Linked DNA regions of Anolis sagrei. The main gene of each other region encodes a partner of the protein of the gene in region 2 in a complex. Links are inferred from orthologs where the notes say so. Each region holds a gene or a part of one and is shown on either strand. Other genes may lie near its edges. The genes, in order: P2RY2, GNAO1, C3AR1 and HRH3.

Region 1 (7,882 bases), on a different chromosome or scaffold from region 2:
TTGAATGTTTGACCCTGAGCTGTAATTTTACCTATCTGTAAGCTTGCTTATCCAAGGCAGAAAGAATTTCGTGGGAGTAGATCTGCTTGTGTCTGAGCACAGGCAATTATTTTTTCCTATCAGCAGCAGCTGTTGGCAAGCAAAGCTCTCTCAATAGACAGGGATTCTGGGTCTCAGTAGACAGGGATTCTGGGACTTGTAATAACTGGAAATTTATTTTTCTTAATCACGTTCCTATAAGAACTCCCACGACAAACAGAAAATATATATCAATGATTGGTTGGGGGGGCGGGGCGCCAAAATACTGTTTGCTTACCATTGAAAATTACCTAGGGCCGCCTCTGGGTGGGACCAACACGTTTACTAATACATATAGTAAAAAATGAAGAAAAATAATAAGACACCAAAACACTTAAATACTTAATGTGCTTTAATCTGTGTTTTAATGATATTTTAATGATGTTATGTTTTATATTTTCACTGTGTCATACACTGCCACAAGCCACCAATTATTATCATTGTTGTTGCATTACAGAGAATAAAACCAAAAATCAAACATCTAAGCAAATACAAGTGACGCAATCCAGTTTCATAGGGAACAATAATTTTGCAATGAATTGTTTTAAGAAAAATCCAGCAGCCAGTTTTTAAAGAGTCGTGTTTAAACACAAATCAACAAGTACTACGGAGATGACGTATTTCCAAGAAGAGAATGAAGCCAGAAATCCAACAAAGCTGCAAGCAATTTCAAAATGTCCTAATCCATTGATTGAAAAAAAAAAGAGCAATGCTTGAGATGACAGCAAAACTTAGTTCGCTCTTATGTATTGATATTTAGGTATGTCTTGTATGTTAAAATAGTGTTTCTCAACCTGGGGAAGGGATCACGAGGGGGTTTCGGAGGGGTCACCAAAGACCATCAGAAAACACATATTTCTGATTGTGTTCCAGCAGACACCAACTAACCCCTCTCCAATGCCAGTGATACAGCTGAATGGTGTAACATTAGAAAAAGTTGATCATCTCCGCTACCTTGGCAGCCACCTCTCCACCAAAGTCAACATCGACACCGAAATACAACACCGCCTGAGCTCTGCGAGCGCAGCATTTTTCCGAATGAAGCAGAGAGTGTTTGAGGACCGGGACATCCGTAGGGATACCAAGGTGCTTGTTTATACAGCTATTGTCCTCCCAACCCTGCTCTATGCCTGCGAAACATGGACTGTCTACAGACGTCACATGCAACTCCTGGAACGATTCCACCAGCGCTGCCTCCGGAAAATCCTGCAAATCTCCTGGGAAGACAAGCGGACAAACGTCAGCGTGCTGGAAGAAGCAAAGACCGCCAGCATTGAAACGATGGTCCTCCGCCATCAAGTCCGCTGGACCGGCCACGTTGTCCGGATGCCCGACCACCGTCTCCCAAAGCAGTTGCTCTCCTCCGAACTCAAGAACGGAAAACAGAATGTTGGAGGACAGGAAAAGAGATTGAAAGATGGCCTCAAAGCCAACCTTAAAAACTCTGGCATAGACACTGAGAACTGGGAAGCCCTGGCCCTTGACCGCTCCTGCTGGAGGTCAGCTGTGACCAGCAGTGCTGCAGAATTTGAGGAGGCACGAATGGAGGGCGAAATGGAGAAGCGTGCCAAGAGGAAGGCGCGTCAAGCCAACCCCGACCGAGACCGCCTTCCACCTGGAAACCAATGCCCTCACTGCGGAAGAAGATGCAGAGCAAGAATAGGGCTCCACAGCCACATACGGACCCACAAGAATATTGGAAGACAATCATCCTCGGAAAGCGAGGGATCGCCTAAGTAAAGTAAGTAAAGTAAGATTGAGTTAGGAACCTCTTTGGCAGAGAGGGCTGTCCCATCTCTCTGCCTGTCCTTCTCTTCCTTTTTGGAAACAGACATCAAATCCTCCCTCCAAAAACCCTCCTCTGCTGTGATTGGCCAGCCTCTCAGCTAAGGGGAGGGCTGTTTCTGAGACTCCAAGTGGGGAGGGGAGAGCAGGCGTTCTTGGCATATGGCAGCGTGGCACATAGGCAAGGGAGAGTGTGTGAAGCTGAAGGTAGATTAGTGCCAGCAAGTTCCTTCAAGGCGGGGGCGTTCTATGTGGGAAGTTTATCTCTTTGATTGTAGGTGAACTATACATCCCTATAACTACAACTCCCAAATGTCAAGGTCTATTTTCCTCAAACTCCACCAGTGTTCACATTTGGGCATATTGAGTATTTGCACCAAGTTTGCTCCAGATTCATCATGGTTTGAGTCCACAGTGCTCTCTGGATGTAGGTGAACTACAACTCCCAAACTCAAGGTCAATACCCACCAAACCCTTCTAGTGTTTTCTGTTGGTCATGGGAGTTCTGAGTGCCAAGTTTGGTTCAATTCCATCGCTGATGGAGTTCAGAATGCTCTTTGATTGTAGGTGAACTATAAATACTAGCAACTACAATTCCCAAATGACAAAATCATAATTTTTTGAGTGATGGTCACTCCTTGTGTAGTGAGACATTTTGTTGTCAAATTTAGTGGGATTTGGTTAATTGGTTCTTTTGTTTTTAAGATACAGAGCATTTTTAGTGGCTCTCAACCTTCCGAATGCCTAGACCCCTTAATACCATTCCTCATGTTGTGGTGACCCCCAACCATAACATTATTTTTGTTGCTACTTCATAACTGTAACTTCGCTACTGTTACAAGTCGTAATGTAGATTATCTGATATGCAGGATGTATTTTCATCCAGTGGACCAAATTTGGCATTTGGGAGTTGTAGTTGATTTTTGTCATTTGGGAGTTGTAGTTGCTGGGATTTATAGTCCACCTACAATCAATGAGCATTCTGAACTCCACCAATGACGTAATGGAAACAATTTTAGCATACAGATCTCCCATGACCAACAGAAAATACTAGAAGAGTTTGGTGGGCACAGACCTTGAGTTTTAGAGTTGTAGTTCACCTACATCCAGAGAGCACTGTGGACTCAAACCATGATGGATCTGGACCAAACTTGGCACAAATACTCAATATGCCCAAATGTGAACACTGATGGAGTTAGAGGAAAATAGACCTTGACATTTGGGTGTTGTAGTTGCTGGGATTTATAGTTCACCTACAATCAAATAATATTCTGAACCCCACCAACAATAGAATTGGACCAAACTTCCCACACAGAACCCCCATGACCAACAGAAAACACTAGAAGGGTTTGGTGGGCATTGACCTTGAGTTTAGGAGTTGTAGTTCACCTACATCCAGAGAGGACTGTGGACTCAATGATGGATCTAGACCAAACTTGGCATGAATACTCAATATGCCCAAATGTAAACACTGGTGCAGTTTGGGGAAAATAGACCTTGACATTTGGGAGTTGTAGTTACTGGAATTTATAGTTCACCTACAATCAAAGAGCATTATGAACCCCACCAATGATAGAATTGGGCCAAACTTCCCACACAGCACCCCCATGACCAACAGAACATATTATGTTTTCTGATGGTCTTTGGCGACCCCTCTGACACTCCCTGGCAACCCCTCCAGGGGTCCCGACCCCCAAGTTGAGAATGCTGATATAGATGATTCTGTGATCCTAAGCTTGGTTAACAGTGAAAGGCTGGATGTCACGAGTGATGTTGATCGTGGCAGAATGAGATGGGACTAGATGAAATTGAAATTGAATCCAGACAAGACAGAGGTACTCCTGGTCAGTCGCAAGGCCGAACGGGGTATAGGGTTACAGCCTGTGCTGGACGGGGTCGCACTCCCCTTGAAGGCGCAGGTTCGCAGCTTGGGTGTGACCCTGGACTCATCGTTGAGCCTGGATCCCCAGGTTTCAGCGGTGACCAGGGGAGCATTTGCACAGCTCAGGCTCGTGCGCCAGCTGCGCCCGTACCTTGGGAAGTCTGACTTGGCCACGGTAGTACATGCTCTGGTCACATCCCGCCTTGACTACTGCAACGCTCTCTACGTGGGGCTGCCCTTGAAGACGGCCCGGAAGCTCCAGCTAGTCCATCGCGCGGCAGCCATGTTACTAACAGGAGCGGGACGCAGGGAGCATACAACGCCCTTGTTGTACCAGCTCCATTGGCTGCCGATTCGCTACCGGGCCCAATTCAAGGTGCTGGTGTTGGCCTACAAAGCCCTAAACGGCTCCGGCCCAAAATACCTGTCTGACCGCATCTCGGCCTATGAGCCCACGAGGGCCTTGAGATCGTCTGGGGAGGCCCTTCTCTCGATCCCGCCTGCCTCACAGGCACGCCTGGCGGGGACGAGGGACAGGGCCTTCCCGGTGGTGGCCCCCCGGCTGTGGAACACCCTCCCTGTTGACATCAGACAGACGCCCTCCCTTATGACATTCCGCAAGGGACTAAAGACGTGGTTGTTTGAGAAGGCGTTTGAGTAAGTGCTGTAACAATTGGCAATGGCGATTGGAACGGAACATGGATAACGAGACTGGATTGTGATTCAAATGATGAGACGTCGCGAATGATTTAGTGTAATTGTATTATGGATAGTGATGTTGTTTATTGTTGTTGTGATATTGTTTATGTTGTAAACTGATTTTATATGTTGTACACCGCCGTGAGTCGCCCTAGGGCTGAGAACGGCGGTCTACAAGTGCAGTAAATAAATAAATAAATAAATAGATGACCCTTGAGGTCTCATCCAACTCTAGGATTGTATGGTATGGTCCAATGGTTTCCCCTGAACCGGCTCAACTTGGAGAGCTGTCAGCCCGGTGCCGCTTCCTCTTTGCTTTGACAGCTTGTGGCAACTGGGTGTCGCATTTGCCACACTGAAGTGGGGAAGTGGATGTGGGATGGGCTGGGAAGGGATGTGGGTGTTCTCTCTGCCTCCCTCCTCCAACAGGATTCGGGGAAGGAGAGCATGAAAGGAGCAGGACAGCTGCTGCCGGGGCAGGGCCAGTCTGGGCAAGCCAGCCTCAGAGCTGCTCCTTGGGTGCCTCCTCCTCCTCCTTCTCTTTTTTTCTCCTCCATCTCCTCCTCCTCTTCTTTCACCTCCTCTCTTGGCGCAATAGCTGCTGCCTGTCGCTTTGTCCTGGACGGAAACATTGGAGGAAAGCAATGGGGACCTTTCCATGGACTTTGCAACACTTAAGGTTCCTGGACTGAACATGGAAAAGCAAGCAACTTGAGAAGCCTTCCCAGGAAATCCAAAAAACTGTAAGTTATGACTTGATGCGTGCGCTTCCTTTCTTGTATGTAACAGGTTGCTGAACATCTTGCACAACACGTTGCGGCCCAGTGCCAGCGATTAAACTCCAAAGATCAAGACACTTCTCGTAAAAGGTTGCAGGAGACGCCTCCAAACAGGGCGAAAGGTGTGACACTCTTGTTCTGTCCCTATGGAAAAACTCTTGGAGATCTCCTTAATTTTTATTCTGCCTCCTCCAGGTTCTGATAGCAAATCTGATCAGGGTTTCTATCTCTCCAGTCCTATTTTTAGCTTCTGTTTTCTTCCCCCTTCAGCTTGTAAATAAGTTGTGACCTGCCTGAAGTTTGAGAGAGAGGAGCAAAGCTGTGAGTGTGATTTACAGTTGCCAAGTGGAAGAAGGGACAGGGCTCCTAAGCCTTTAAGAGTTGGAATTGTGTGGAAGAGTTGTGCAAAAAGGGGAATTTGAACTGCTGGGGATTGTCATGCAACAGAGTGTACAAAATCCCCTCTTTTACATGGCTACTTCCTGCACAGGAGCCCCATCCTCTTGTTTCACTTGGCAACCTTAATGTAGGCATGCTTTCCTCAACTCTCCAGGCACGTGGGAGTGCATTTACACCAGTGTTTCTCAACTTTTCTAATGCCACAAACGCTTAATACAGTTCCTCATGTTGTGGTGACCCCCAACCATAACATTATTTTCATTGCTACTTCAGAACTGTCATTTCTCTATTGTTATGAATCGTAATGTAAATATCAGATATGCAGGATGGATATTCATTCACTAGACCAGTGTTTCTCAACCTTCCTAATGCCGTGACCCCTTAATACAGCACCTCATGTTGTGGTGACCCCCCAACCATAAAATAATTATCATTGCTATTTCCTAACGGTAATTGTGTTACTGTTATGAATCATAATGAAAATATCTGAAATGCAAGATGAGTTTGCATTCACTAGACCAAATTTGGCATAAATACCCAATAACGGAGCTCCATGCAGTCGTGTCGGCCTTGGAGGTGTCTATGGACAACACCAGCTCTTCGGCCTAGAAATTGAGCACCAACCCCCAGTCTTGAACATGACTGGACTTAATGTCAGGGGAAAACTTTTACCTTACCTTACCCAATATGCCAAATTTCAATACTGGTGGGATTGGAGGGAGAATTGAGTTTGTCATTTGGGAGTTGTAGTTACTGGGATTTATAGTTCACCTAAAATCAAAGAGCATTCTGAACCCCACCAATGATGGAATTGAACAAAACTTGGCGCACAGAACTCCCATGACCAAGACAAAATACTGGAAGTGTTTGGTAGGCATTGACCTTGAGTTTTGGAGTTGTAGTTCACCTGCATCCAGAGAGCACTGTGGGCTCAATGATGGATCTGGATCAAACTTGGCACGGATACTAAATATGCCCAAATGTAAACACTGGTGGAATTTGGGGGAAATAGACCTTGACATTTGGGAGTTGTACTAGTTGCTGGGATTTATAGTTCACCTACAATCAAAGAGCACTCTGAATCACACCACAGATAGAAATGGGCCAAACGTCCCACACAGAACCCCCATAATCAACAGAAAATACTGGAGGGATTTTGGATGAACTGACAGTGATTTAGGGGAGATGTAGTTCACCTAGATCTAGAGAGCACTGTGAACCCAAATGACTATGCCAAAGGGATTCTTAAGATCATCAGAAATATGTGTTTTCTAATGGTCTGTGGCGGCCCCTCTGACACCCCTTCGCGACCCCTTCAGGGGTCCCGACCCCCAGATTGAGAAACACTGCACTAGACCAAATTTGGCACAAGTACCCTATACGCTCAAATCTGAATACTGGTGGTTTAGAGGGGATAGATTTTGTCATTTGGGAGGTGCAGTTGCTGGGATTTACAACCTGCTTTGTCTTCAAAAAACAATGAGATTCAAATGCTCCATGAGATTCTTAGTGGATCACAAGCTGAACATGAGTCCACAGTGTGATGCGGCAGCCAAAAGGTCAACATGATTGTTGGCTTCATCAAGAGGAGTATAGTGTCTGGATCAAAGGAAGCCATAGTCCCCCTCAATTCTGCTTTGGTCAAACCTCTTCACTTGGAATAACCCTGTGTCCAGTTCAGGGTACCATATTTCAAGACGCCAAATTGGGAGGGATAGCCAATACTCCAGAGGACAGGAGCAGGATTCAAAACGATCTTGACAGATTAGAGAGATGAATGGCCAAAACTAACAAAATGAAGTTTAACAGGGACAAATGCAAGATACTCCACTTTGGCAGGAAAAACGAAATGCAAAGAGACAGAATGGGGGACAATGCCTGGCTCGAGAGCAGTACGTGTGAAAAAGATCTTGGAGTCCTCATGGACAACAAGTTAAACATAAGCCAGGAATATGATGCGGTGGCAAAAAAAGCCAATGGGATTTTGGTCGGCATCAATAGGAGCATAGTGTGTAGATCTAGGGAAGTCATGCTACCCCTCTATTCTGCTTTGCTTAGACCACACCTGGAATATTGTGTCCAAATCTGGGCACCACAATTCAAGAGAGATATTGACAACCTGGAATGTGTCCAGAGGAGGGCGACTCAAATGATCAAGGGTCTGGAGAACAAGCCCTATGAGGAGCGGCTTAAGGAGCTGGGCATGTTTAGCCTGAAGAAGAGAAGGCTGAGAGGAGATATGATAGCCATATATAAATAT
Region 2 (7,383 bases):
TGATATTGTTTCTAGCACCCACTTTTTGTTTGATGTTCAGGCAGTGCTTCTTGTAGGTCAGAACACGGTCCAGGGTGACTCCCAGGTATTTGGGTGCGCTGCAATGCTCCAGTGGGATTCCTTCCCAGGTAATAATCCTCAGAGCTCGGGATGCTTGTCTGTTCTTAAGGTGAAAGGCACATATCTGTGTTTTAGAGGGATTAGGGATCAGTTGGTTTTCCCTGTAATAGGCAGTAAGGGCACCTAGAGCTTCGGAGAGCTTCTGTTCAACCATCTCAAAGCTCCCTGCCTGAGTGGTAATGGCACGATCATCAGCATAGATGAAGCTCTCTGTCCCTTCTGGCAGTGGCTGGTCATTTGTGTAGATGTTGACCATGGATGGAGCAAGCACGTTCCCCTGAGGCAGGCCGTTCTTCTGTTTCCGCCATCTGCTTCTTTGGCCCTGGAATTCAACAAAAAAGCTCATGTTTTGTAGCAGGCTTCCTATGAGGCGGGTGAGGTGGTCGTCCTTTGTGATATTATACATTTTTCTCAGGAGGAGGCGGTGGTTCACAGTATCATAGGCTGCTGACAGGTCTATGAAGACAGCCCTGTGATCTGCTGCCTTTCAAAGCCATCTTCTATGTGCTGAGTCAGGTTCAGCACTTGCGATGTGCAGCTTTTGCCTTTCAGCTTTCTTCTGAATGCGCACAGGCGACTATAGACTATAGAGGCACTCAGCTTGGACTCCAGCAGTTCGTAACAGTCAGAGACCTCCGCTAAGATAGCAAAATTCCAAATTGGATTCCCTTGTGGGGCTGATATTCCGTGCCACCAAGGAAGCCATGCTCTGCTGGGCATATCATCCTGATGACTTATCCAGCTGGAAGACACAAAGAAGCAAGTCTCTTCTCTTCTTTTGATGGGTTTCAGGCACGTTATAAAACCAGACTTTTGACCCATCCTAAGGTTTACTCTTTGCTGATTGCGTTGGCTTTGCTTTGTTGCTCTCTGCTTTTCTTTTGTATTGAATGTATTTTTGATGGCTCTCGGCCAGCTTGAGACTCCTTTTCGGGATTAGAAGGCGGGGAATGAATTTTCTAAATAAATACACAAACTGGAGACTCTGTTCTGTTTGCTTTTCCTCACCAGCAATGGATTGCTAACTTAGGAGTAGAGTATTATTGACCAGATGTTTTGGGTTAGGTTACAACCTCTTTCACACCTGTGTCCAGGTTGGTTCATCGTGTGCTCTGCTATGGCTGACTTCTCTGGTTGAAGTAGTCTGCAGTGCCTTTCATGTTCCTTGATTCGTGTCTGGGCAATGCTGCTGCGTTTGGTGGTCCCTCTGTAGACTTGTCCACAGCTGCATGGTACACGGTAGACTCCTGCAGAGGTGAGAGGATCCCTCCTGTCCAACCTGGACACAGCATTTTATTTGGGAACACAGAAATGCTGGACCACTCTCACAACCACCATGTCAGACTACACAGAGAAGCCATTGAAATCCACAAGCATATGAACAATTTCAACAGAAAGGAGGAAACCATGAAAATGAACAAAATTTGGCTACTAGTATTAAAAAATTCTAAAATTACAACAGCACAACAACAGAGAGGAAACAAACAAGGACATCTAATCACCTCTCAACAAAAGTTTGCTCTTGGCACTATCAGGCCATTATATGCTAATCAAGGTGGTCTGTTGAAACATTCACACCTAGCTCCAGCAGACAAGAGTCCTTTGTCCCACCCTGGTCATTCCACAGATAAATAAACCCCTTTTCCTAGTTCCAACAAACCTCACTACCTCTGAGGATGCTTGCCATAGATGCAGGCAAAATGTCAGGAGAGAATGCCTCTAGACCAGTGGTTCTCAACCTGGGGTCCCCAGATGTTTTTGGCCTACAACTCCCAGAAATCCCAGCCAGTTTACCGGCTGTTAGGATTTCTGGGAGTTGAAGGCTAAAAACACGTGAGGACCCCAGGTTGAGAACCACTGCTCTAGACCATGGCCATATAGCCCGAAAAAACCTACAACAACCCTATAATAATAATAATAATAATAATAATAATAATAATAATATATTATTATTATTATTATTATTATTATATGTTATAATAGAATATATTATAATATTATAATTAAAGATAAAGGTTTCCCCTGACATTAAGTCTAGTCATGTCTGACTCGGGGGGGGGGGGGGGGGGGGGTGCTAATCTCAATTTCTAAGCCAAAGAGCCAGTGTTTTCTGTAGACACCTCCTAGGTCATGTGGCTGGCATGACTGCATGGAGCACCTTTACCTTCCCACAGAAGCGGTACCTACTGATCTACTCACACTTGCATGTTTTCAAACTGCTAGGTTGGCAGATGCTAGGGCTAACAACAGGAGTTCACTCCATCAGCGGAGTCGAACCACCAACCTTCTGGTCAGTAAGTTTTGCAACTTTGTGGTTTAAACCGCTGAGCCACTGCAGCCTCTGTGTTATATTATTATGCATTATAATATTATATTAATATATGTCATTATATTATATTATGTTTTTATAATTGGACCAGTGAGGCAATGGGGGTTTAGAATATATTCTAATATAATATTGTTATTATATTAATATGTTATATTATTATATTATTATTGTTATATAATATTTTTCTTATACTACTATATTATTACATTATTTGTGATAGGACCAATGGGGCAAAGGGGGTTTCGAATATATTATAATTATATTAATATGATATATTATTATTATATTATATTATTATATTATGTTTTTATGATAGGATTAATGAGGCAACAGGGTTTATTATTATATTATAATTATATTAATATATGTTATAATACTATAATTATATTATATTACCATATTTCTATTTATATTACCATATTATGTCTTTATGATAGGATTAATGAGGCAATTGTGTTTATTATTACATTATAATTATATTAATATATGTTATAATATATTATTATATTATATTTTTATGATAGGATTACTGATGCAATGGGATTTATTAATATATCATAATCATATTAATATATGTTATTATATTATATTATATTATATTAATATTATATCTCTATATTATTATACTATGCTTTTATGATAGGACCAATGAGGCAATGGGGTTTACTATTATATTATAATTATATTAATATATGTTATAATATATTATTATATTATATTTTTATGATAGGATGACTGATGCAATGGGATTTATTAATATATCATAATCATATTGATATATGTTATTATATTATTATATTAATATTATATCTTTACATTATTGTACTATGCTTTTATGATAGGATTAATGAGGCAATGGGGTTTATTATTATAATTATATTAATATATGCTTTGATCTTATTCTATTATATCATTATTATATTATATATTATTATATTATATTAATATATGTTATAATATTATTTTATTATATTTTATTATGTTATTATACTGTAATATCCTTGTATTATTATCGTTATATTTGATCTTTATTTTATTAAATAGTATATGTTATAATATTATTATATTATATTATTATACTATTATAATATTATATTATGTTTTTATGATAGGACCAATGAGGCAATGGGGTTTATTATTATATTATAATAATAGTAAAATATGTTATAATATTATTCTATTGTATCATTATTCTATTATATTTTATTTTATTATTCTATTATATTAAAACATGTTATAATATTATAATATTATGTTATTATGTTGTAATAGTATTGTATTATTATCATTATATTTGAGCTTTATTTTATTAAATATTATTATATTATATTATAATATTATAATATTATGTTTTTATGATAGGACCAATGAGGCAATGGGGTTTATTATAATAATTATAATAAAATATGTTATAATATTATTCTATTATATCATTATTATATTATATTATATTATATTTTTATGTTGCAAAGTAAGTAATAGTATTATATTATTATCATTATATTTGATCTTTATTTTATTAAATATTATATGTTATAATATTATTATATTATATTATTATTATATTATTATATTATATTATATTATACTATTATTATATTATATTATATTATATTATATTATATTATATTATATTATATTATATTATAATGTTTTTATGATAGGACCAATGAGGCAATGGGGTTTAGAACCCAGGAACCCAAATCGTGTTGGATCATGAATGATCTTCTGCTTAGAAATGGGTGTTTTCCTTCCCATCCTTTGGCCTCTCTTTCTCTAGATTCCCCCCACCTTTTCCTTTAGGAGTGGGGCGCATGCGCAGGAGACAGGGAGAGCTCTGACGTCATAGAGTCAGCTTCCCCCCCCCCTCTCTCTCTTTCTCTTCCCCCCTCCCCTCCGTTGGAAGGAGCAACGCTAAGCAGGCGGCGCTCTCGCCCTGCCTTTCCTCCCTCCCTCCTTTTTCCCCCTCCCTCCTTTCCTCCCTCCTCTCTGCTTTCTCTCTCCGTCAGGATCGCCTTGGACGATGCCCTCGCTCGCAGCCATCGCCCATTAGAGACCCCCCCAAGTTCGGGGGAGCAGGAGGGGACCCCTTGAGATCCCCCCCACCCAAAGAGAAACCCCAAAAGAAAGGGGGAAAGGAGGAAGAAAGGAAGAAGGAAGAGACTGAAGAAGAATAAGAAAGAGACAACAAAGATAAATCCTTGCAACATTGTGTTGTGTTTGGCTGAGCTGCTCCCGACAATTCCCCGACAATTCCCCGACAATTCCCCGACAATTCCCCGACAATTCGAAGCTGTCACTTGGATGCAACGTTTGGAGTGAAGCAGAGCAAAAAAAAAAGACGCAGAGAGAAGGAAAGGAAGGAATTAAGGAGAGATTGTCTGCCAGGGAAGAAGAGAGAAGAAGGCAAGAAGGGGAGATTGGTTTTCTTTGGTGCACCAGCATCTCCCTGGCTTTGGTCCATCGGTGGTCTTCTCCTTCTCCCTGGCTTTGATTGGAGCTCGCCCTGCCTTTGGAGCAAGGAAAGAAGGGAAGGAAAAAGGGGTCTTTTGTATTCTTGTTGTTGTTTTATAGGGGGGGGATTCGCCCTTTTTGTGTGTGTGCCCACCACCATGGGATGTACCCTCAGCGCGGAGGAGAGAGCCGCCTTGGAAAGGAGCAAAGCGATCGAGAAGAACCTCAAGGAAGATGGCATCACCGCCGCCAAGGATGTCAAGCTCCTCTTGCTGGGTAAGTAGGCAGGCACACAGGCATAGATAGAGATACATGTATGTATGTGTATATGCGGATGTACATAGATACCGCTATGTCTTCTCTTGCTGGGTAAGTAGGCAGGCACACAGGCATAGATAGAGATACATGTATGTATGTGTATATGCGGACGTACATAGATACCGCTATGTCTCCTCTTGCTGGGTAAGGAGGCAGGCACACAGACATAGATAGAGATACATGTATGTATGTGTATATGCGGACGTACATAGATACCGCTATGTCTCTTCTTCTCCAGGTGAGATATGAGCATCCCTCTCTTCCTCAGGTGTGGTCTTCTTCCCCTCTCCCACCTCTCAATTTCTTCTATTTGCCATCACTATCTATCTATCTATCTATCTATCTATCTATCTATCTATCCATTCATCTATCTATCTATCTATCTATCCATCCATCCATCCATCCATCTATCTATTTATCTATTTATCCATCCATCCATCCATCCATCCATCTATTTATCTATCCATCCATTCATCCATCTATCTATTTATCTATCTATCTATCCATCTATCTATCTATCTATCTATTTATCTATCCATCCATCCATCCATCTATCTATCCATCTATCCATCCATCCATCCATCCATCTATCTATTTATCTATCCATCCATTCATCTATCTATCTATCTATTTATCTATCCATTCATCTATCTATCTGTCTATCTATCTATCTATCTATTTATCTATTCATCCATTCATCCATCTATCTATCTATCTATCTATCTATCCATTCATTCATCTCTCTATCTCTCTATCTATCTATCTATCTATCTATTCATCCATCCATCTATCTATATACCTCCCTCTCCCTATATATTATGAAATCCTTCTTCGTTTTGTGCACCCAGGGGCATTGGATATATGTAGATAGATAGGATAGGATAGATAGACAGATGGATAGGATAGGATAGAGAGATAGAATAGAATAGAATAGAATAGAATAGAATAGAATAGATAGACGGATATGATAGATAGGATAGATAGAATAGAATAGATAGATAGGCAGATGGGGATATGATAGATAGAATAGATAGATAGAATAGATAGAATAGATTGATAGATGGATATGATAGATAGGATAGATAGATAGATAGATAGATAGATAGATAGATAGAATAGATAGATAGAATAGATAGATAGACAGACAGATAGATATGATAGAATAGATAGACAGGTGGATATGATAGATAGGATAGATAGATAGAATAGATACATAGAATAGATAGAATATATGGATGGATAGATAGATAGATAGATAGATAGATAGATAGATAGACAGACAGATGGATATGATAGATAGAATAGATACATAGAATAGATTAATAGAATAGATAGCATACATACATACAGAGAGAGAGAGAGAGAGAGAGAGAGAGATTGAGATTGATGGATTATGAAATGCAGCCTTCTTGGCTTTGTACATCCCAGGGCATTCGATTTGTGTAGATAGATAAATAGATAGATAGAGAAGTGTGTGTGTATATATATATTCCCCCTTTCTATATAAGCACTATGGGGCATCTATAGAAAAGGGAAATATATATATATGTGTGTGTGTGTGTGTATTCCCCCTTTCTATATATGCACTATGGGGCATCTATAGAAAAGGGAAATATATGTGTGTGTGTGTATATATATATATATATTTCCCCTTTCTATATATGCACTATGGGGCATATATAGAAAGGGGGATATGTATATATAATTGAATGCATCCTTCTTGGCTTTGTGCACCATGGATCTCATATATATATATATATATATATATATATATATATATATATATATATATAATTTGTACATTATAATAATATAATGTACAATAATATAATATTTAATAATATAATACAATATTAATCCCCCATTTCCATATATATATATATATATAGAGAGAGAGAGAGAGAGAGAGAGAGATAGGGGATTAATATCTATCTATCTATCTATCTATCTATATGAGAAAGAGGGTATTAATATTATATAATATTATTAAATATTATATTATTGTACATTATATTACTAAATGCATTCTTCTTGGCTTTGTGCACTATGAGGCATCTAGGAATATATAGCTATATATCTTTCTCTACACAGATATAGATATTTTGAAATACATCCTTCTTGGTTACCATGAAGCGTATGGGAATATATATGTGTGTGTGTGT
Region 3 (7,376 bases), on a different chromosome or scaffold from region 2:
TCCTTTCTTAGATTGAGTGCCAGAGCTACGGCCGTGGGGCCCATCTTGCCTCTGTCCTCACCAAGGCAGAGACCCTTCTGGTGGCCGAACACATTTCCACTTACCAAACAGAACCAAGTAATGTCTGGATTGGGCTCCATGATGTTCGTCAGGTAAGCCTCTTTCTTCTAATAATCCAAGTATTCACTACTGTGAGAAATTCCTTATTGATGAAATTCTAGTAATTTCACAGTTTGAGTTCCACATTGATTTTCTCAGCAGTTTTCAATAGGAGTCCCAGTGCAGCAAAGGAGGGATGGCAGAATTAGACCTCTGCTCCTCATTCTAGTGCCCCCACAGGTCACATCTTAAGGCAGGGGTCCTTAAACTTTTTGAACAGAGGGCCAGGTCACAGTCTCCCAAACTGTTGGAGGGCCAGATTATCAATTGAAAAAAATGAATTCCTATGCACACTGCACATATCTTATGTGTAGTGCAAAAAAAAAAAAACCCAACACTTAAAACAATACAATAATTAAAATGAAATTTAACAAATATAAACTTATTAGTATTTCAATGGGAAGTGTGGGCCTGCTTTTGGCTGATGAAATAGGATTGTTGTTGTTGTTGTGTGCTTTCAAGTCATTTCAGACTTAGGTTGACCCTGAGCGAGGGCCAGGTAAATCACCTTGGAGGGCTGTATCCGGCCCCCAGGCCTTCATTTGATGACCCCTGTCTTAAGGAATGCAGGTCTTCTTAGTGGCTGCTCCCAGGCATCAAAATTTCTTTTCTAGAGAAGCTACACTGGAGTCATCCATGGAGGGTGGATGTTTCTCTTTTACCCATCTTTGGCAGGATTCATCTTTCACACTAACAATTTGGTGGTGACATTTCTTTGCAAGAAGATTTCCATTTCTACCTGAAAGCCTGCCCCCCCCCTTTTGTGTCAGAAGTGACTTGAGAAACTGCAAGTTGTTTCTGGTGTGAGAGAATTGGCCGTCTGCAGGACGTTGCCCAGGAGACACCCCGATGTTTTTGATGTTTTATCATCCTTGTGGGAAGCTTCTCTCATGTCCCCGCATGGGGAGCTGGAGCTGACAGAGGAGCTCATCCATGCTCTCCCTTGATTCGAACCTCCAACCTGTCAGTCATTCCTGCCAACGTAAGGGTTTAACCCACTGTGCCACCAGGGGCTCCTGCCTATTGATGCATATTGATGATGCATATTGATGGCTGCAGAGCCTTTCTTAACTCTAAATTTAGCATTAGAAGCAAGCATTATTAAGTTCAACAGAACTTACTCTTAAGATACTATGTGGTAGGTAGTCATGCCAAACCAAACACATTGGATACTACACTCTACACTGCTGCTATGTATGTATGTTATGATGGTGGTCCCACACATTTGTTTGCACTGCTGGGAAGTTCTTATCCACCAGACAATATTTCATGCATTCAAGGAAATTATATTTTGACATGGAATTGTCTCTACTGGTTGAGTCACCTTTGGGTTCGAGAAAGACAGGATAGAAATATCACAAATAAATAAAGAAGTAAATAATTCTGCAATGTGTGTGATAACCTTTTAAGATGCTGCAAATCTTTGGACTAGTTTTACAGCAGCAAATGTGACTTCCTCTTTGGTAACTCACTGAACAGCTGAGCTATGTAAATACATCATTCCCATCACTTCCTCAATCATGTATCTTCTTTGTACAGACCAGGAAATGGAGGTGGGCTGACGAATCAGTTTTCAACTACAAGGCATGGGAAAGTGGTCAGCCCGACAACTACTTTAACTCTGAACACTGTGTAGAACTCCGACTTAAAACAGGTAAACAAGCCAAGAAAGTATCAAGTATATCTAGTTTCCATGGTTTTATCAGCTGCAGTTCTAGCAAGAGTCCAGCCAGCAATGGCCAACTTGTCCAGCTTGGGGAGGTCACACAAGCCAGTGTGCCACAGTTCACTTACATGATATACAGAGTCAGCCCTTCCATTAGACAGAGTGGAGAAGCCTCCTTGTGAGGCATATGTTGGGGAGAGCAATGATAATTTTATATACCATATATTTAAGAACTTTGTGCACGAAACAAAGTTTATATATATATCAGAAAGCAAAGGTGTCCCTATCTTGGAGTATTTCAGATTTTGGAATTCCAGATAAGGGATCCTCAATGATTAAATAAAAAACATTCAGGACATAAAACAGTACAACACTTTTTAAAAAGCTCTCTCCTTAAAAGCCTTCAGTTTTAAAAATCTCTTGGAATAAATTGATTTCCATTGGCTGGCATACCCTTGAACTCTACAAGCTTTACATCACCGTACCAGTGTTTGATTTTTTTTTTGTTGTGTCAGGAGCGACTTGAGAAACTGCAAGTCGCTTCTGGTGTGAGAGAATTGGCCGTCTGCAAGGACATTGCCCAGGGGACGCCAGGATGATTTGATGTTTTTATTATCATCCTTGTGGGAGGCTCTCTCATGTCCCCGTATGAGGAGCTGGAGCTGATAGAGGGAGCTCATCCGCCGACTTCAGTCCTGACAGCACAGGGGTCCTGGCCACCAGGGGCTCCATCAGTGTTTGATCACCAGTGTTTGATGATTAACCATGGAAATAACAGGATCAGACAACAAAGGTTAGGTTACATGAGAGCCACTTTATGTTACCTATGACTTATTTAAATTAAGTTAAACCTGGAAAAAAATAATCTGGTGGGGAGCGGAGGAGAGAATCAAGCTGATGATGGTTCAGCTGAGGTCAGGCAGCAACATTTAACTATCTCGTGAACACACCCTGAGCCCTTTGGGCAATCCAATAATTTGGTTTCTCCCTGTCCATCCATTTTCTGGTAGGTAAACCCAGGCATACAAGAGGTGGCCGGATGTTCAATAACCTTTGACTCCATCCCCATAATATGAAACATTATAATGCTCTGAATTATAAGCAACAGACTCTGACTCCTATTCATGGGAGTCATTAAAACACCCCCCCCCCCCCAACAGTATCATCTCCATTCAAGTCCAGTTGTATGTAATTTTCTTCTCTATACCAGGTCATCCTTGTCACCTTCCAGTGACATTCTGAATTCTATTATCATTTCTCCAATTTACCTACTAATAGAAGTACTTAACAAATATGAGATCAAGAGGCTTTTCTGTTCTTTTAGACCTAGGGGTTGAAACTGGTGACAGTTTGACAATATCTTGGGAGTTTTTTTCCCAAAACAATAACAGAGAAGAAAATAACATGTGTTTCATCTCTTAATTTGTAGGTTTTAAGGAGTGGAATGATATCCAGTGCAAGAATCGCAATTCCTACATCTGCAAATACGAACTCTAGAGCAACAGGGGTAGCGCCATATTGGCAAATTGGATGGCTACTTCCTTGATAATAATTAACTACTTTTCACCATCTGAATCTATAAAAGATTACCTTGTCCCCTGCAAAGAACTTGATTTGTAGTCGCCCTCTCTTTCTGACTGTTGTTGACAACTACACTACAATGTGAAATTAATAAACAATGGTTTATGCATATATTCCATGGTCTCTCTCTCTCATTCTAGAAATTACTAAATCTACTCCTACAAAGGTTATCTAGAGGGTCTGCTTGTTGTGAATCATTATACACAAGAGGCAAATCTAATGCCCTGCTCTCGGTCCCACCGCCTTTGCAATCACGTTTGGTGGGGACGAGGGACAGGGCCTTTTCGGTGGTGGCCCCTCGGCTTTGGAACTCCCTCCTGATGGAGATTAGATCTGCCTCTTCCCTCCTGACGTTTAGAAAACAGGTAAAAACATGGCTTTGGGATACTGCGTTCGCAGGATGATGACTGAGTCAATAACTGCTGACCTTTCTGGCGGATGGCGATGAATTTGTAATTCTTTTGGACGAACTGGTTTTTGCTGTAATTTGTATGAATTGTATGAAGTGTATTTTAATGTAATTTATATTGATGACCTATAATGTTTTTCAACTTTTGATCAACAATTATCCCAAAGTCTTTTTTCATATATAGCACTGGATAGCCAAGTATCGTCCATCCTATACCCGTGGATTTGATTTTTATAACCTAAATAGAGAATGATGCATTTATCTCTGTTAGTCTGCTAGTTTCAGATCTTCTATTTTTCCAAGGTGATGATACCAAATTATCATTCTCAATCGATTGACTAAAGCAAATATAGTTGAGACTTTGTTAGCACTGCTATTCTGGACACTTCTGCAATTGGGATATTTTGCTTAATGGCATTTCCTCTGGCACTCAACTAAGTTCCATTTTTCTTTGAAAATAAATTTAAAAATAAACATGAAAGCACCAGAACATTGCAGAAGGGGGTATCCAATTCAGAGTAGGCCAGGCATGGTACACGTGGTAAGAGGCTCAATCTACTATTTCCTGGCTGTAACTGCCTCTTCCCCTTCTTCTCCTCCCTTCTTTGGCTCAGTTGGACAGAACAAGGTGAGAAGATAGACACTGTGACTGCAGCAACTGTGGATAGCCAGCCAAGGGAAGCAAAGGTATGGATATAACTCTAGTCAGTTGGCATAAGAAGAGAAGGAAATGTTTGTGGGATCTCAGAGGGTTTGTGGTGGAGGACTGGTAAGTGAGTGATGCAAAACGTACAAGTAACAGTCAGGATTTAAAAAGGGAAAGGAACAAAAGAATGGGTATGAAAAAGTTGTCAATCATTCTTGCTTTTTTATTTTTTTGGGAGTTTGTCAAGAATAAGTTTTTAGAAAGCCTTATTCTGAATCACATTTAGCCATATTTCGAAACGTCAAAACTGTATGTTGAAACAAACTTCATTCCTGTTCCTATTTATTAAGAAGCGGAGGAAGGAGACATCTAGGAATAGCAAGAAGCAATTACCATATAATTTTCCCTTCCCTATTTTTTAAAAAGTACATGTCGATGTATAGGAATACAATGCAAACAGTTTTGTATATGTGGCTTTTGTGTGGTGTGTGACACACTGTGGAAAGCGTTCTTTAGAAGGAGCTACAAAGTATGACGATTATGAATTATGAAACTTTTTTCCAACTTTGATTTTTATAATGCTGAACGTATGATATGTGTCTTAAGTTGAACCTCAAGCATTTAACCAACTTGGCCATCTACCCGAGAGGCACAAACTTTTGGAATCACCACTATTGGCTTGGATGGACTACTTGACAAGGAATGATGCAGCTCCCTATATAGCTACAAGTATCACTTGGTTTCGTCCACTAATAATGACAGGGATGATCACTGTCATATGGCAGTGGTTGGACTGGGAGAAGGTGAGAGCATGCCAGATAGAGAAGAGGTTTGTCAGAGGAGAAGGTCGCCCAAGAATGTCGTTGAAGAAAAATCATGAAGCAAATCATTTGGGGGATGTTGAGTTGTCCAATCTTGTATTCAGGCTCTTGCCTTTGAGAGTTCTTATAGAAGCAAAGGAAATGTAGGAAAGCAGAGAGACTGGTGGACAACCGGACATTGTTATAGATAGCTGAGTAAAATTGAACTGCACTCTTCCAAGGTTTCCTTTTTAAAAGCTGAAATTAAGATAGTGTCTTTTCGAAATTCATGTTAAAACTTCATGGTAGAAGGGCAAATCCCACTTCTCTTACCCTGAATGTGTACAGCTAGAAATACCTAATCTGTCTATCAAGATTACTATATTTAAGGCAAGTTAGTATATGGTCATGCCAGCTTATGCCCTTTCTGCATACCGGTTTATGGTCAATTTATATTCTTTTCCTAAACTGTACAGCTTCTGATCAGACACAGACAATTCAATTATACCTTTATGTTTTCACTCCTTTCAGTGATTTTGCTACGCATTGCTCCCTTAATAGTTGCAGACTGTCACTCATTTTTGTTTACTACTGGAAACTAGTTGTCTTTGTAATGATTAATAGGCATTCTTAAAAAAAACACATGCATCCTATGTTAGAAATGGCGACCTTCTTCAAACCTCCACTAGTTATTTGTTTGCATATAATTCAGATTTCTTACTGTATTGTATATGTGTGTATTGGTATGCAATTTTCCTTAACTCTAAGTTGTGGGAGGAGCTGCAGACCATGTGATCAGATCTGGGATAGTTCAGGACTCAGACTCCATTGGACTTTCAGACTAGACTGAGACTCTATTAGACTCTTAGAACAGAGACATACTTTGGGCCCTGTGTTGCCTGTGCAGAGAAACTACTTCAAATTCTATCTGTAACTGGACATAAATGTACCTATATGCTGAATACATGAAGTTTGTGAGTAAATCTACTACGTTATTTTTTTTTTAAGTCTACTTATTTTTGTCTCTTGAGAGCATGATTTAGACCAGGGGTCCTCAATCTTTTTAAACAGAGAGCCAGGTCACAGTCCCTCAAATTGTTGGAGGGCCAGATTATAATTGGAAAAAACATGAATGAATTCCTATGCACACTGCACATATCTTATTTGTAGTGCAAAAAAATACTTAAAACAATACAATAATTAAAATGAATAACAATTTTAACAAAGATAAACTTATTAGTATTTCAATGGGAAGCGTGGGCCTGCTTTTGGCTGATGAGATAACATTGTTGTTTTTGTTGTGTGCTTTCAAATCATTTCAGACTTAGGTTGACCCTGAGCGAGGGCCGGGTAAATGATCTTGGAGGGCTGTATCCAGCCCTCGGGCCTTAGTTTGAAGACCCCTGATTTAGACCAACATGTTTTATAAGGGAGAGTAGATATTTTTTGAGCAACTGAAAGAACACTTCTGAAACTCTGTTACATGTTTTTGTGCACTGGCATATCTTTGTCCCTAACAGTTCAACGAGATATCTAGGTATATCAGTTTAACAGCTGAGAAATCTAATTGCCTTGCATGAATACTACTGGATATTTATCACTAAGACAAAGTTTACTCAAAGGAGTTTTTAACTCTTCTCAGGGAGATTCCTGATTTTCCCAAAACGGTGGTGAATGCCATTTCCCAAAGGGTTATGTGCTGGTACAGTTGTACCAGGAGCTCCATTTCTGTTTGCTTTTGCATTTAATGTTTGTTGCAGTCCTAAGTTTCAGGGACTCTGCAGATAGGTGGCTTCTTTTGGCTGCAATCATAGGGCAAGCCACCTGTCAATTATAGTAAGGTTCCCTGGTCCCGCCCCTTTTTGAGTTTTAGTGGGAACAGGAGCCATTTTGAGTTAGTTCTCACAGAGAAGCCTTTCGCACAGGACATAGAACGAAGTGGCTCCTGTAGAAAAGCTTCGTTTTTTACAGCTTGGCTGGGGTCATACAGCCTTACAGCTTGGTCAGGGAGAAAAGGCCCACAGCTTGGCTGAGGGACTTCAGCCGGCCACCACCGAAACCTGAACTCCTTCCTTTTCCCTGGAAGTCTACAAAGCTCTGCCTGGTAAGGGTCTC
Region 4 (7,954 bases), on a different chromosome or scaffold from region 2:
TTTGCAAGACCAGTCGCTCTAGTTGCTGCGTGGTTTCGAGGCAACGGTGTAGTAATGGTGAGGCTGTGGGCAATATTTTCATTCTTGCAGACCACTGGTGATCCATGGACCACAGGTTGGGAATCATTGTTCTAAAATGGTTTGAACTAGAGCAAACCTTTGCAATCAATAGGCTGGGACCCATGGGATTTGTGCCTTGAAGAGTGAGAAGAGGAAGGACTGGACTCTTTATCTGCTCCTACTTCCTCTTGGGAAGTGATTTGGGGAGAAATGTCTTCTCCTTAGCAATCTAATCTCACTATTCTTCTCCTTCAGGCATGGGCAAACTTTCTAGCTTGGGGACACATGACATGGCAGGCTGGAGCAGGGTGGGTGGGCTGGGAAGAAAGTAGTTCTCCCCAAGCCCCTTCCCTGCCTTTTCCTCTTCTTCTATTTCAGAGGCAGAAAGTGAAGAAAAGATGGGAAATGTTTAGATCCCAAAAGAGTTAGCCTTGGTCAGGATGAGATGGTGGGAGGGAAAGAAAAAGTGTATCCATTAGACCCCATATTGCCTACTCCTGGTGTATAATTGTAGAATCCTAAAACTGAAAGAGACCCCCAAGGGCCATTCAGTCCAATCCCCTGGCATGCAAGGATGCACAATCAAAGCACTCCCAATAGACAGCCTCAGCGGAAGTGCTTCCAGAAAAGGAGACTCCATCATATTCCCAGGCAGCCTACGCCACCCTCCAATAGCTCTTAATCTCTGGAAATTCTTCCTAATCTTTTCAGTCAAACCTCTTTTCCTGCCAGTTGAAATCATTTCTTCCTTGTGCCCTGGTCTCTAGAGCAGCAGAAAGTCAGTTTTCCCCCTCCTCAATGGGACACTCTTTGAAATCTTGAAACATGGTTCTCATGTTCCCTCTCTTTCTCTTCTCCCAGCTAAACATCCCCCAGGAGGAAAGGAGGAAGGGAGAGAGGAAAGAGAGAAGAAAGGAAAGACAAAAGGGAAGGAAGGAGGAAGAGAGAGTGGGAAGGAAGAAGGAAAGGGGGGAAGTAAGGAATGTAGAGTAGAAGGGAAGGAAGGAGGGAGGGAGGAAGAGGGAGGTAAAGAAGGAAGAGGGAGGGAGGTAAACATCCCCCAGGAGGAAAGGAGGAAGGGAGCGAGGAAAGAGAGAAGAAAGGAAAGACAAAAGGGAAGGAAGGGGGAAAGAGATAGATGGAAGAAGGGAAAGAGGAAAGAGGAAGAGAAGGAAGAGTAGAAGGGAAGGAAGGAGGGAGGGAGAAAGAGGGAGGTAAAGAAGGAAGGAAAGAAAGAAAGAAGGAAGGGTGGAAGGGAATGGAGGGAGGAAAGAGAGAAGGAAAGCAAGACAAAAGAGAAGGAAGGAGAAAGAGGGAGGTGGAAGGAGGGAGAAAGAGGAAGGGAAGGAAGAAGGGTGAAAGGATGGAAGGGATGGAAGGAAGGAGGGAGAAAGAGGGAGGTAAAGAAGGACGGAAAGAGAGAAGGAAGGAAGGGAATGAAGGGAGGAAAGAGAGAAGGAAAGATAAAAGGGAAGAAAGGAGAAAGAGAGAGGGGGAGGAAGAAGGAAAGAGGGAGGGAAGCAAGGAAGGGTTGAAGAGTGGAAGGGAAGGAAGGAGGGAGGGAGAAAGAGAGAGGTAAAGAAGAAAGGCAAGAGAAGGAAGGAAGAAAAGGTGGAAGGGAATGGAGGGAGGAAAGAGAGAAGGAAGGAAAGACAAAAGGGAAGGAAGGAGAAAGAGAGAGAAGGAAGGAAGAAGGAAAGAGGGAGGGAAGGAAGGGATGAAGAGTGGAAGGGAAGCAAGGCGGGAGAGAAAAAGAGGGAGGTAAAGAAGGAAGGAAAGAGAAAAGGAAGGAAGGGTAGAAGAGAATGGAGGGAGGAAAGAGAGAAGGAAGGAAAAATGAAAGGGAAGGAAGGAGAAAGAGAGAGAGGGAAGGAAGAAGGAAAGAGGGAGGGAAGGAAGGGATGAAGAGTGGAAGGGAAGGAAGGAGTGAGGGAGGGAGAAAGAGGGAGGTAAAGAAGGAAGGAAGGAAAGAAGGAAGGAAGGATAGGATGGTGAGAGAGAGGAGAACCTGAGAAAAGAGCCCAAGGGGCCACATCTGGGTTTGCCCATACTTGGTCTACTTAATGGAGGCATGGGCCAACTTCGGCCTCCCCTCCAGGTGTTTTGGACTTCAACTCCCACAATTCCTAACAGCCTACCGGCTGTTAGGAATTGTGGGAGTTGAAGTCCAAAACACCTGGAGGGAAGGCCGAAGTTGGCCCATGCCTGCCTTAATGTCTTTAGATGAGGCAGGTCAATAAGGAAGGCGAGGCGGGGTACTTTACCTACTAGGAAATCCGAGATGGCCAAGTTGAGGAGGAAGTAGTTGTTCTGCGTCCTCAGGCTGGAGTCCACCACGAAGGCCAGCATCACCAAGGCGTTGCCAACCACGGTGGCCACGATGAGCAGGGCCATGAGGACGGCCAGGATGATGGCCCACAGGGTGGAGAAGCGTCCCAGGAGCTGCTCGCCTCCCCCGGGGGGCTTCTCGGGGGTCTCGGAGGAGCCGTTCAGCGGCCAGGAGGAGCTGTCCATTTCAGCACCACAGAGGCTCCGGCGCCTGGCTGGGGGTCCCTGCCTGGAAAGACCTGCCCGGACGCTCCCCGACAGCAAGGCTCAGAGATCCCTCTCTCTGCATGGCAAGGGCGAAGATACGCTTGCACTGCCAGCCCCCAAAGTCCACACAGCAAGCCCTGAAACGGATCTTCCCCAATGCATTCCCTTTTACGCACAGCCGTCGGCGATGAGAGGTTCTGCCTTCTTCTTTCTCCAGTCTTGTTCACTCACTCTTTTCCTTCTCGTTCCAGGCAAAGCTGCTTGTCTTTCTCTCTCTCTCCGTTCTTCTTCTTCCTTCTCCTTTTCTTTCCCCGAGTTTGGGAGGGAAGGAAAGAGGAGGGTCGGGAAAGGGACGGAGTAACTCCTCTCTTCTCCCTGGCTGCTGCTCTGCCTCCGAAGGAACTGGCAAAACCTCCCAGCAAAAGAGCCAGGAGCGTTTCTTTCCAAAAGGTGGAGCTAAGCTTCTACGCCCAGAGCTTCACAAAATCATCTCAGCTGGAAGAGACTCCCACCAGGACCAACTGAGACTGAGACCACAGGAGATGGGCAGGCAGCTCCTACCTGCACAATAGGCTCCGAGGCTGGATGGCCATCTGTCAAGGGTGCTTTGAATGTGATTTTCCTGCTTCTTGGCAAGGGGTTGGACCGGATGGCCCATGATTCTATGATTCTATGATTCTAATAATCTCAGCTGGAAGAGACTCCCATCAGGACCAACTGAGACTGAGACCTCAGGAGATGGGCAGGCAGCTTCTACCTGCACAATAGGCTCCGAGGCTGGATGGCCATCTGTCAGGGGTGCTTTGAATGTGATTTTACTGCTTCTTGGCAAGGGGTTGGACCGGATGGCCCATGATTCTATGATTAATAGAATCATAGAATCATAGAATCAAAGAGTTGGAAGAGACCTCATGGGCCATCCAGTCCAACCCCCTGCCAAGAAGCAGGAATATTGCATTCAAAGCACCCCTGACAGATGGCCATCCAGCCTCTGTTTAAAAGCTTCCAAAGAAGGAGCCTCCACCACACTCTGAGGCAGAGAGTTCCACTGCTCTCACAGTCAGGAAGTTCTTCCTCATGTTCAGATGGAATCTCCTCTCTTGTAGTTTGAAGCCATTGTTCCGCGTCCTAGTCTCCAAGGAAGCAGAAAACAAGCTTGCTCCCTCCTCCTCCCTGTGGCTTCCTCTCACATATTTATACATGGCTATCATATCCCCTCTCAGACTTCTCTTCTTCAGGCTAAACATGCCCAGCTCCTTAAGCCGCTCCTCATAGGGCTTGTTCTCCAGACCTTTTATCATTTTGGTCGCTTTCCTCTGGACACATTCCAGCTTGTCAATATCTCTCTTGAATTGTGGTGCCCAGAATTCTAGATTCTATGATTCTATGATTCTAATAATCTCAGCTGGAAGAGACTCCCATCAGGACCAACTGAGACTGAGACCTCAGGAGATGGGCAGGCAGCTTCCACCTGCACAAAAGGCTTCCTTCTCCCTTTCTCTTCTTCTTACTCAGCCCTAGTTTGAGGCCACACTCTATAATAGGCATGGACAAGCTTCCGCCTTCTGGGTGCTTTGGGCTTAAACTCCCACAATTCCTGGCCCCAGGCCCTATCCTTTTCCCCCTCAGCCACTTAAGCAGTATCAGCCATGGATTAAGGTTCCAGGTTTTAGCCTGCCACTTTTGGACTCTCGTTTGCCTATGTTGAAGTCCAAAACACCTGGAGGGAAGACCGAAGGGCGCCTACCATAGATGCAGGTGAAACGTCTGGAGATAATGCTTCTGGTACATAGCCATACAGCCTGAAAACTCACAACAACCCAGTGATTCCAGCCACAAAAGCCGTTTCTTGGTTTAAAATGTTGGAATGTATCCAGAGGAAAGTGACTGAAATGATCAATGTTCTGGAGAACAAGCCCTATGAGGAGCGGCTTAAAGAGCTGGGCATGTTTAGCCTGAAGAAGAGAAGGCTGAGAGGAGACATGATAGCCATGTATAAGTATGTGAGAGGAAGTCATAGGGAGGAGGGAGCAAATTTGTTTTCTGCTGTCCTGGAGACTAGAAAGTGGAATAATGGCTTCAACCTACAAGAAAGGAGGTTCCATCTGAACATTAGGAAGAACTTCTTGACTGTGAGAGCTGTTCAGCGGTGGAACTCTCTGCCTGGAGTGTGGTAGAGGCTCCTTCTTTGGAAACTTTTAAACAGAGGCTGGATGGCCATCTGTCAGGGGTGCTTTGAATGTGATTTTCCTGCTTCTTGGCAGGGGGTTGGACTGGAGGGCCCATGATTCTATGATTTTATGATTCTATGATTCTAATAATCTCAGCTGGAAGAGACTCCCATCAGGGCCAACTGAGACTGAGACATCAGGAGATGGGCAGGCAGCTTCCACCTGCACAAAAGGCTTCTTTCTCCCTTTCTCTTCTTCTTACTCAGCCGTAGTTTGAGGCAACACTCTATAATAGCCATGGACAAACTTCCACCTTCTGGGTACTTTGGACTTCAACTCCCACAATTCCTGGTCTCAGGCCCTTTCCTTTTCCCCCTCAGCCGCTTAAGCGGTATCAGCCATAGATTGAGGTTCCAGGTTTTAGCCTGCCACTTTTGGACACTCGTTTGCTGAGGTGTACCTCTGTAGATCTTAGAAAGCTGTTTCTTGATTTAAAATGTTAGAATGTATCCAGAGGAGGGCAACTAAAATGGAGAACAAGCTCTATGAGGAGCGGCTTAAAGAGCTGAGCATGTTTAGTCTTCAGAAGAGAAAGCTGAGAGGAGACATGATAGCCATGTATAAATATTTGAGAGGAAGTCATAGGGAGGAGGGAGCAAATTGTTTTCTGCTGCCCTGGAGACTAGGACGCGGAACAATGGCTTCAAACTACAAGAGAAGAGATTCCATCTGAACATGAGGAAGAACTTCCTGACTGTGAGAGCAGTGGAACTCTCTGCCTCAGAGTGTGGTGGAGGCTCCTTCTTTGGAAGCTTTTAAACAGAGGCTGGATGGCCATCTGTCATGGGTGCTTTGAATGCAATATTCCTGCTTCTTGGCAGGAGGTTGGACTGGATGGCCCATGATTCTATGATTGTATGATTCTATGATTCTATGATTCTAATAATATCAGCTGGAAGAAACTCCCACCAGGACCAACTGAGACTGAGACCTCAGGAGATGGGCAGGCAGCTTCCACCTGCACAAAAGGCTTCCTTCTCCCTTTCTCTTCTTCTCAGCGCTAGTTTGAGGCAACACTCTATAATAGGCATGGACAAACTTCTGCCTTCCAGGTGCTTTGGACTTCAACCCCCACAATTCCTGGCCTCAGACTCTTTCCTTTTCCCCTCAGCTGCTTAAGCGGTATCAGCCATAGATTGAGGTTCCAGGTTTTAGCCTGCCACTTTTGGTCTCTCGTTTGCTGAGGTGTACCTCTGTAGATCTTAGGAAGCTGTTTCTTGATTTAAGATGTTGGAATGTATCCAGAGGAGGGCGACTAAAATGATCAATGTTCTGGAGAACAAGCCCTATGAAGAGTGGCTTAAAGAGCTGGGCATGTTTAGCCTGAAGAAGAGAAGACTGAGAGGAGACATTATAGCCATGTATAAGTATGTGAGAGCAAGTCATAGGGAGGAGGGAGCAAGCTTGTTTTCTGCTGCCCTGGGGACTAGGACATGGAATAATGGCTTCAAACTACAAGAAAGGAAATTCCATCTGAACATTAGGAAGAACTTCCTGACTGTGAGAGCTGTTCAGCAGTGGAACTCTCTGCCCCGGAGTGTGGTAGAGGCTCCTTCTTTGGAAGCTTTTAAACAGAGGCTGGATGGCCATCTGTCAGGGGTGCTTTGAATGTGATTTTCTGCTTCTTGGTTGGACTGGATGGCCCACGAAGTCTCTTCGAACTCTATGATGCTAGGGTTTGAATCCCCTCCCCCATTCTGTTGCCTTAGAAAAAAGCAGTGGCAAAACACCTTTGAATAAATCTTGCAAAGTAAATCCTATGAGGGGACTGAGCTGAACCTGAAAGTCACACAACAACCACAACCACAATCTCAACAACAAAAGGCTGCCTATCAATAGCTACATATGACTTCCCATAATAAGGGAAACGTATTGGTGAATAACAGCAGGGAAGTGCTCTTGTGTTCATATTCTGTTTGTGAGTTTCCCATGAGCATCTCTCTGGCCACTGTGGGAACAGAATGCTGAACTCAGTAGTCTGTTTTAGCCTGACACTTCTGATGTCCTTTGCTATTGTCCCTGCTTTCATTTCCATTTTACAGATAGAGAAAAATGTGTGCACAGGATACTATACTTGTGGATTCCAACAGAACTAGAATCCAAACCCTTACCTTTCAGATATAAGTCTGACTGAGATAAATAAGATCCAAAATACCAAACAATACTTCATTGGAGAAAACTGTGTGCATAAAAGAAAACATGAGAGGAGACATGATAGCCATGTATAAATATGTGAGAGGAAGTCACAGGGAGAAGGGAGCAAGCTTGTTCTCTGCTTCCCTGGAGACTAGGACGCAATGGAACAATGGCTTCAAACTACAAGAAAGGAGATTCCATCTGAACATGAGGAAGAACTTCCTGACTGTGAGAGCCATTCAGCAGTGGAACTCTCTGCCCCGGAGTGTGGTGGAGGCTCCTTCTTTGGAAGCTTTCGAGCAGAGGCTGGATGGCCATCTGCCAGGGGTGCTTTGGATGCAACATTCCTGCTTCTTGGCAGGGGGTTGGACTGGATGGCCCATGAGGTCTCTTCCAACTCTATGATTCTATGATTCTGTGTTCGGTGTGTTTCTTGCTGTGTTGGGTGTATGCACTTGTGGTTCTTCTTTACTGTTTAAAAACCCAAGAGGCATGCACAAAACTCTGTGAGTCTTCCATCCCTGTCATCCCAAGGAGAGTGACTATGCCAAAGCCTGTTAGAGTTAGTGGGCCAAAGATAGTGTTGTCCTGAGGAGTCTGAGATAAACCTCTGTGGGAGAAAAGGCCTTATTTTGATTAGGCCTCACAGTGTGAGGTAGGCCTTAGTGTATGATAGAAGCCTCATCTGCATGTATCTCTCTTTATGAACCATCTTCTGGGGAGGCCCTGCTCTTGGTTCCGCCGTCTTCATGGGTTCAGTTGGCGGGGACAAGAGATAGGGCCTTCTCAGTGGTGGCTCCTCAGCTGTGGAACAGAGTATTCCACAGAGTATAGGTAGTAGGAAGCAATGGTATTGAGCCACGACATGAGCAAAGACTCAGATGCCTCTCATGTCTGTGAGTTGGAAGGCTGAGGACAACCACTCGTTTGCATCTAACTGATATTTAAGGTGCAAGAGAATAATTCAAGTGGTGATAACTGGGGCTGTCACA

What was found.
Region 1: the proteins of GNAO1 (region 2) and P2RY2 are in contact, whole or in part, in a cryo-EM structure (PDB 9K20), measured with the Homo sapiens proteins. The link is inferred for Anolis sagrei from reciprocal best matches to the Homo sapiens genes GNAO1 and P2RY2. Residues at the interface, in NP_066268.1 of Homo sapiens: Ala31, Lys32, Asp33, Val34, Leu195, Gln305, Glu309, Glu318, Ile319, Tyr320, Cys321, His322, Met323, Val334, Phe336, Thr340, Asp341, Ile343, Ile344, Asn347, Leu348, Gly350, Cys351, Gly352, Leu353, Tyr354; in NP_002555.4 of Homo sapiens: Asn66, Ser68, His130, Arg131, Gly134, Val135, Pro138, Leu139, Leu142, Arg143, Met221, Arg224, Leu225, Ala229, Tyr230, Gly231, Thr232, Ser233, Pro237, Ala239, Lys240, Lys242, Ser243, Arg245, Thr246, Leu308.
Region 3: the proteins of GNAO1 (region 2) and C3AR1 are in contact, whole or in part, in a cryo-EM structure (PDB 8I95), measured with the Homo sapiens proteins. The link is inferred for Anolis sagrei from reciprocal best matches to the Homo sapiens genes GNAO1 and C3AR1. Residues at the interface, in NP_066268.1 of Homo sapiens: Ile28, Ala31, Lys32, Asp33, Val34, Asn194, Leu195, Ser264, Asn316, Glu318, Tyr320, Asp341, Ile342, Ile343, Ile344, Ala345, Asn347, Leu348, Arg349, Gly350, Cys351, Gly352, Leu353, Tyr354; in NP_001313404.1 of Homo sapiens: Asn57, Asp119, Arg120, Val123, Val124, Pro127, Ile128, Gln131, Asn132, Arg134, Asn135, Tyr356, Ile359, Arg362, Gly366, Arg367, Phe368, Ser371, Lys374, Thr375, Val378, Leu438.
Region 4: the proteins of GNAO1 (region 2) and HRH3 are in contact, whole or in part, in a cryo-EM structure (PDB 8YN7), measured with the Homo sapiens proteins. The link is inferred for Anolis sagrei from reciprocal best matches to the Homo sapiens genes GNAO1 and HRH3. Residues at the interface, in NP_066268.1 of Homo sapiens: Ile28, Ala31, Lys32, Asp33, Val34, Lys193, Asn194, Leu195, Asn312, Pro315, Asn316, Lys317, Glu318, Ile319, Tyr320, Phe336, Thr340, Asp341, Ile343, Ile344, Ala345, Asn347, Leu348, Arg349, Gly350, Cys351, Gly352, Leu353, Tyr354; in NP_009163.2 of Homo sapiens: Asn69, Asp131, Arg132, Ser135, Val136, Ala139, Val140, Tyr142, Arg143, Ala144, Gly147, Ile221, Ile225, Arg228, Arg232, Thr345, Phe348, Arg349, Arg352, Val356, Leu360, Cys415, His416, His417.

Annotation. Positions count from the first base shown.
Region 1 is NC_090023.1:6,920,402-6,928,283, reverse strand, and holds the start of P2RY2 (P2Y purinoceptor 2), read left to right. Parts: upstream 1-4,880; 5' UTR 4,881-5,187; intron 5,188-7,882. UniProt on the Homo sapiens protein: Receptor for ATP and UTP coupled to G-proteins that activate a phosphatidylinositol-calcium second messenger system. The affinity range is UTP = ATP > ATP-gamma-S >> 2-methylthio-ATP = ADP.
Region 2 is NC_090028.1:7,028,377-7,035,759, reverse strand, and holds the start of GNAO1 (guanine nucleotide-binding protein G(o) subunit alpha), read left to right. Parts: upstream 1-4,373; 5' UTR 4,374-5,061; coding exon 5,062-5,179; intron 5,180-7,383. UniProt on the Homo sapiens protein: Guanine nucleotide-binding proteins (G proteins) function as transducers downstream of G protein-coupled receptors (GPCRs) in numerous signaling cascades.
Region 3 is NC_090025.1:106,209,627-106,217,002, reverse strand, and holds the start of C3AR1 (C3a anaphylatoxin chemotactic receptor), read left to right. Parts: upstream 1-4,364; 5' UTR 4,365-4,502; intron 4,503-7,376. Other genes in the region: C-type lectin Cal-like, read left to right, coding at 12-152, 1,699-1,813, 3,255-3,322.
Region 4 is NC_090024.1:232,444,392-232,452,345, forward strand, and holds the start of HRH3 (histamine H3 receptor), read right to left. Parts: upstream 3,006-7,954; 5' UTR 2,575-3,005; coding exon 2,325-2,574; intron 1-2,324. UniProt on the Homo sapiens protein: The H3 subclass of histamine receptors could mediate the histamine signals in CNS and peripheral nervous system. Signals through the inhibition of adenylate cyclase and displays high constitutive activity (spontaneous activity in the absence of agonist).